Nothobranchius furzeri: one gene and its partner. The protein of the gene in region 2 interacts with the protein of the main gene of each other region in a pairwise test. Links are inferred from orthologs where the notes say so. Each region holds a gene or a part of one and is shown on either strand. Other genes may lie near its edges. The genes, in order: myf5 and id1.

The links.
Region 1: the proteins of id1 (region 2) and myf5 interact in binary tests that used the Homo sapiens proteins (3 or more experiments, as listed by UniProt). The link is inferred for Nothobranchius furzeri from reciprocal best matches to the Homo sapiens genes ID1 and MYF5.

The regions. Positions count from the first base shown.
Region 1 is NC_091741.1:40,949,175-40,953,209, reverse strand, and holds myf5 (myogenic factor 5), read right to left. Parts: upstream 2,539-4,035; 5' UTR 2,426-2,538; coding exon 1,973-2,425; intron 1,251-1,972; coding exon 1,178-1,250; intron 983-1,177; coding exon 786-982; 3' UTR 582-785; downstream 1-581.
Region 2 is NC_091743.1:40,070,881-40,074,169, forward strand, and holds id1 (DNA-binding protein inhibitor ID-1), read right to left. Parts: upstream 1,832-3,289; 5' UTR 1,732-1,831; coding exon 1,378-1,731; intron 1,136-1,377; coding exon 1,100-1,135; 3' UTR 604-1,099; downstream 1-603. UniProt on the Homo sapiens protein: Transcriptional regulator (lacking a basic DNA binding domain) which negatively regulates the basic helix-loop-helix (bHLH) transcription factors by forming heterodimers and inhibiting their DNA binding and transcriptional activity.

The DNA of each region.
Region 1 (4,035 bases), on a different chromosome or scaffold from region 2:
CCCCACCACCCTCCTCCTCTTCCTCAGCCACGCGATAATAAGTACTATTAGAGGCCATCTGTTCTCCACATGGGTGTTGATGGTGCAATCAAAGGTGTTAATGATGACTCACATTTGGTAGGAAAGGACAAACAGGTGGAGAAAAGTGGGAAAACACACAGCAACACGTCAAAACACAGAGAAGCTCAAAGATCACTTAAATGTTTGCATTTGTTGGTTGATTCATCCTAAAAACCTACAATTCACAAAGTTCCACGTGAATTTGCAGCAAAATGATAAATATTATCAGCTGACCTCTGATGTGATCCCTTTACAGCCAAGATGAGGACATAATAAATAACCTGCGCTTTTATTTTGAAATCTGCAACAGACTCCAATTTATCATCATGCTAATGATTGTGTCTGCTGTCAGCGATTAGACTGATGAACCATCTTTCGGCTTTATTTGGCTCAAAAAGGAAACTTCATGGAAAAGAAACGCATGAATTCAAGAAATAAATTTAACTTTTCAACTATTTTGAACAAAAACATAAAAATAACCAACAATCAAAACAAAGGAGTGTCAAAATTTGTTTAAATATAATCATTTATGAATAATTCAGCACTGCATCAAATATGTTCAGTGGAGCGTTAAAGCATGTGGGGAATAAACAGGCCTTATTTTACATATTTACAGTCTCATGTACAGTATTTAACGATGGTTGTTGCGTCGCATGAAAGCTGCTTCCCGTGGTTTGGTTGCAAGCGCAGCTGGCGTCTGATGACATCAGAGCGAGGGCCCTGCTTCACAGGACGTGGTACACGGGCCTGGTTCCGGGGCTCTCGGGTGTGCGCGGCTGAGAGTCGGAGCTGCCGGGGGAGAAGGTGGCCATGTCTCTCAGGGCAGAAGGTCCACAGCTGGACTCCACCGTGGACAGGCGGTCCACGATGCTGGACAGGCACTCCAAGCTGGAGGTGCCCATTGGTTTGTCATCCAAACTCTCTGAAACATGAAAATGAGACATTCACATCACTTTTTAGGGATAGTTTTAGCTCTCAAGCATCTTAATTGACTAAAAATGAAGAAAAAGCTGCAAATTTGTAAAATTTCTCTCTTCTAAATCTGGTTTCTGTGTGACCTCCAGAGGAAAACAGACACAGAATATTTCACCGACACGTTCACATCAGAGGCTCTCACCGTTCTTCCCATAGGAATAGCTGTGTGTGTAGTTTGCATTCAGCTGCTGCCACACAGGACTGTTGCCTCCAGCCTGTAAGAACACGAGAGATCAAATTTACCCTCGCACCGCTGCAACTTACAAAAACACACCAACAGAACACGTTAACGCAAACATCAAACGGACCGAGGCAGGAAAAAGTACTACAAAACGAGTCTTCATGTCAGTCAGGACAGGCCAATAAATCCCAAATTCCAAAGTTATTGGCTTCTTTATTTCACATCCATCTTAAAGTCAAAGTGGCGGTGCACGCTCCCCGCTCCTCCAAACCCCCCCTTCCCGGCCGAATCCTAGCGTGGCGAATCGATTGTATCAGTGGAAGCAACACCAGTTTGTGCAAGATGACACTTTCTCTGAGTAAATCTGCAGAAAATCCTGGCAGCGGTGCCGAGCATGCAGTCAGGATGGAATGCAGAAAAGCGCCCGGGTTTTTCAGTGAGGTGGATTTAGTTTGGTTTATTGGTGCGATGCAGCGTTCAGTGGTGGGAAGGCTGAATTATGTTACTCTGTTGTCTGAGATACGGTCAAAGACGAACCATCAAACAGGAAGTACGGAACAAAATCAGACTAAAAACTCTCCAGGCTGCAGATCAGATGATTGTTTACAGGATTATGCACAGCTCTGCTGGCAGGAAGCACTCCCGCCCTCTTTAACTGATGAAGTCTTGGGTTCACAGGCGTATCTAGCAGCTGTGGGCTTCAGCTCAACCAGATGTTTGCTTAGAGAGTTTGAACATGAGGATTAGAGGTCTTACCATGCCATCAGAGCAGCTGGACAGCGGGCTCCCCGGCTCAGAGCTGCTCTCTCCGGGTAGGCCGTAAAAGTTCTCCACCTGTTCTCGCAGAAGATCCTGCAGGCTCTCGATGTACTGGATGGCGTTGCGCAGGATCTCCACCTTGGGCAGGCGCTGGCTGGGGTTGGCCGAGGTGCAGCGCCTCAAGGCCTCAAAGGCATGGTTGACTTTCTTCAGCCGCCGACGCTCGCGCATGGTGGCGGCCCGCCTGCGGTCCACAAAACTGGACTTGCGCTTGCAGGCCTTGCAAGCCCACTGGAGGCAATGTCCGGGCTGATGGGGGGCTCCAGGAACTCGGACGTGCTCGTCTTCCTCAGAGCCGGCGAGCTCCATGGTGGGACCAAACTCCAGGCTGTCTGGAGACGAAGCGCACGCTCTGTCAAAGTAGACCTGCGATGGCGAGAAGACGTCCATGGCTTGGTGAAGAAGTGAGTCTGAACGGACGAGCACAAAGGAAGGAAGGAGGGTAAAGGTGCTGGGTGAAAGAGAGGAGACCTCTGAGTGATATGAGGGGTCTGTTGCCCCAGGCCCCCCTTATATGCCCCCTGGCTAAAGCCCAGGGCCTACATTGGCCGGATCTAATTACCATGGCCCATTGGCCCAGCCAGAAGGCAGGCTGGAGTTAGATCAGCTCCCTCCCTGCCCCATCCCTACCCCCCCAGTACCCTGCAGAGTTTCTCACATCTGCACTTACTGGCGTTTTCCAACTCATCCCCATTTTCTCCGGCCCTTCTCTGCCGAGGTCACAGTGAATGTTTCAGGAGTTTGTGGTCAAGGGGTTAAAAAAGAACCAGAGTCTTGTGTTTTTGCCGGTTGCATCTGTAAGCGGCCGGGTTTTGGGCCCCCACCACTGAGATGACACTTTGTTATGGAGACATAATTACAACAGAGAGTGCAATTTGTTCAAACTGAGCAGAAAAGCAGACCGGCCCCTCGCAGGAGCATGCAGGCCAATTTTTACGGTGGAGACAACAGCGTTGCAGATGCGGCCCAGCTGCAAAGGAAGGTGTAACATTTCAAGCCCCGCAAATTCACAGGACGGCGGCAAGCCCCCTCTGAACGGCCACGCTTGTCATCTGAGAGGTGATCCGTGTTTGCTGAAGCTCATGAAAGCAGCAATCACACAAATGTCAGGGCGGCTCGTCCGACCTCGAACCAAACTTTAACCGTCGCCGACACAAGCCAGGCACCGACAGACCACGGTGACCCTCGTGGACGAGGAGGGATCCGAGGGGCTTCCAGAGGGCAAACTAACAAAAACACAAACAAAACTAGATTCATCATGTTTTTTTATTTGATTTTACATCGAGACATTTTAGTTTTCATTCTGCTGACTGAAATATTTAAAAAACATTTGACATAAAGCTGAAGATAATGTATATTTTTAAAGAGCACCACGTACAGAATATTTGTTCAAAAACACAACTCGTCTATATTTTTATTTATTTATTTTTATTGCTCGTGAATACACATTTTACCTTCCGTTAGACGATTTAGCCCCTAAAAGTTTATTTTTAAGCGAGTGTTTTTTTTTTGCACATTTGCATTTTTAATGCAAAATAAACTTATCATTGTACTAAAATGTTTTTATAAACACCTTCCATTAAACAAAAACCAGGATTGTGGACTATTTACAAAATGAGGTGGAATTAAACGTATTTTTACATTCCTGCAGGTAATCGTGTTGCTGACAGCTCACAAGGATACAATGCGGATATTTTCTCACAATGTGTCAGAACGTTTGGCGCAACCCCTTCTCCCTGCATGGGAACGTTGCGCACCTAAGAAAACACCAGAAGCGGCCGCGACTGCGTCCGCACAACTCGGCGGACTTTGGCTGCAGGCACAGCTGAAGAAGACATCGGCGGCTCGTTTCCGCTGAGAGGATCAAAGGCTGCGAAGCACGTCTTCAATGAGAAAACCTGCCATCAACCGGGAGCTGATTGGTCCTGATTGGCGCAGCACATGGCGCATAATCCTGCTTGTAGTGGCGCAATGAGTGCGCACAGAGCCGATGATGTGAT
Region 2 (3,289 bases):
GGCCCGGTTCCCGGCCCATCTGCGGCCTGGCCCGTGGATTACTGTTTGTTAATGTTTCAATCAGCTGTGTGTTGAGGAATGTGCAGCTATTTAACCTGAACTTCCCCAGGTGTGCCGCGGCGCCGCTCAGTCTGGGCCCCGCCGCCCTCCCCTGCCCTTGGCACAAAGCTATCACACAAACACAATCACGCACTGGCCACGCCGGGCTGCAGCTGTGCGCATCGCACCGCAGGGAAATGGGAAAAACATCGCACCAGGGAGACGGAATAAATCTCCACACCAGAGCCGCTTTAACCCCCGCGGAGCCGGCGGGGACTCCGCTTCACGGTGTTTACCCCTAAACCGAGCATTTTATGAACGCTTGAGCTAATGTTTAATTTATCACGTCTGAAATTAATGCATTGGTTAGTGACAAACTCTCCCCCTGACCTGACACCGTGCTGTAGGGACCCGCACAGCCTTTATGTTAGTCTACCTGCAGCTGAAGCCTGGTGGCACCTGGATGACTGCAGCTTCTGACAGCAGAGGTCAGAGTTAGCCTCAGAACTACATCATCTGTCTCATTCTCCTTCTGGTTTCATATCAACAGACACAACACGGGCATTCTTGTTCAAAAATAGTGTTCTTGTTTTAATAAAAACGCAAATAAAGTACATTGCAAGAAACAATATCTTCACATATGTGGCATTGTAATATACAATACAGTTTGGTCGCTCAGGAATCTGAGAAATAGCTTTCCTTTCACAAAATATTGAGATCTGTATATGATGTACACGTGATTATACAGAGTGTAACAGAGACGTAAAACTCTACGAGCAGCGCTGGTTGCTCTGGACTTGTCTTGGTCCCCCGGACTAACCCGGTCTTCTGCATCTGGACACCACGGGTGCTCCTCTGGTCCCAGGAGCCCTCGGAGGAATCGAGAGCTGGTTGAGACCATCTCGGCCTGAGGATGTCCTTTTTCTAACAGTTGGGAGTTTCAAACGTCCCTACACAGTTCAAGGCTCAGGATTTAGATGTGGATTCACATCAAGTCGCCTTGTCGGTTCTGGTTGGCGGGCGCAGACGGTGGGATGATGGGGAGGTGCTCCACTGGATCTTAGCGGCACATTATCCTGTCGTCCGAGCATCCGTTCTGCAGGAAGGAGAAGGAAAACACCAGGAGGTTAGAACATGTAGTCTACACACACACACACACACACACACACACACACACACACACACACACACACACACACACACACACACACACACTGAATCTATGATCTGTCACAGATGGCGAACCAGCTTTTACGCACGCATGTTGCGCATCGACTTAAACGTTAAACGTAAGCCACGCAGGTATGTTACCACAGGTGTGACTGACTGGATGTTTACCTCCACTGAGATACTGGCGAGCTCCGAGTTGAGCGTGGTGAGCGGAGTGCGCGGCGCGCCGCTGACGGCGTGCTGGCGGCTCTTCTCCGGCTCGTCCAGCTCGACCTGCAGGTCCCAGATGTAGTCGATGACGTGCTGCAGGATCTCCACCTTGCTGGCCTTCTTGTTTGTGGGCAGGGTGGGCACGAGCTCCTTCAGCTTGCTGTAGCAGCTGTTCATGTCCTGGAGGAAGACGCTCATCTGCTCGTCCAGCAGCGGGATCTTGCACTTGGAGATGGCGAGGCTCTGCTCGGACAGGCCGATCTCTCCCCCGACCTTGGTCTTCAGGGCACAGGTAGATCCAACAACCTTCATGTTGTGCTGATTAGGAGGCGTAAGTCAAGAGTATTCTCCTCTCAGAGATCTTCTCAGTCAGTGTTGACAGTTGTCTAGTTGACATGGAGGAACCTCCTCTGGTTTATAGGCATGCAGCAGCAGGGGGCGTGGCTGCGCGGTCCAGTTTGAAGCAGTCAACCAATGAGAGATGTGCGGTTGTGTTGACAGGGCGGTGCTGTGCGTCTCTCTCAGCCAATGAGGATGCGCGACTGGTTATCAGACTTTACAATCTGTTAGAAGGATGGCGTTACAAATGGAAACAAATGTGTGTCTTTATGGGTAATATGTGGGAATCCAGCTGTCCGCGGCTTGGGTACTCTGCAGGTGTAGACTGCCTGGGGACGGAGGGTGGGCGGTGCATGCCGGGTAGGGTGTGTGGGATGGGACGGAGTGAATGGGATGAATGGCGCTGACAATTAGGCTACCACAGTGCCCCAGATTTGCTTCTCACAATAGTTGGTGCTGCAGATGTGGCGGACAAAGGGACAGTAACCGGGGAAGGTGAAGGTGAACCTGTTGGGGGCGAGGCTTGATTTCACTTCCCTGGTTATTAAACATTAAATGTGTCCAGCAGAAGAACTCAAAACTGTCTATTCTCCCAGAACGCAGCAGATTCCTTCACATGTGTGCACACTCAGATCACATCACTCCCTCCCTCCTCCCAGATTGTCCAAACAAGCCCGAGCAGACTGGCAGGCGCCAGCGTGGTGACGTCACCCATTCATCCGAGCCCTGACGCCTGTCAGCCTGGCGCCGCTCGGGCGGTCTCTGTGGAGATGTCAAACAAGGAAGCTCGCGCTCCTCCATTCACCTGCGTGGAGGATCCTGAGAACAAACTGGCTCTGGAACCTTTTCTCCTCCATTTATCACCTTAAAGCGGCGGGATGAGATTACCGCCCCGCACCTGCAGAGTAAAGGACAGCCGGGTAACAGCGGAGCGACAAAGGAGGAGGAGGAGGACTCCTTATTATGATGTTACCACATTCTCACACAGACAGCCGCTGGATTCCTCCAGTCAGCCCACTTTCACTACTAAATCTGTCCCTGTGGTTCCTGAAGCTCCACTCAGCTCCCAGATCTCCTTTAAAGATGAAGGAAAACTTCTACAAACAAAAGTTTTATTAGGCTGAACTCTCAGAATATCAACAGAAAATAGTTTTGCTTATTGTCATCCACTTTACCTATTTATGTTGTTTTAAAGATCAAAAGACCAAAGCTGGTATGACTCTTCAGGGCGCAGGTAGATCATTTTAAAGTCCCACAGACTGTTTCAACTTTCATGAAGACTCAAAGGGTCGTATCTCGATTGTTCTATGGCCGACACCAAACATGTTCTTTCCATTAAATCCCTCTCACAGAAGCAATCTCAGCAGTTTTACCTTTGACATTTTCAGTACCTTCCAGAATGAGCCGTTTTAGGGCTCTGTCACTTAAAGAAAACAAGCTGGAGCTGGCCACGCCCACCAAGCCCAGCTCAGGCTGCTATAAGCTGAGAAGCTCCAATATTCAGGAGGGGCTCGGAGAAGAGCCGCTGCTC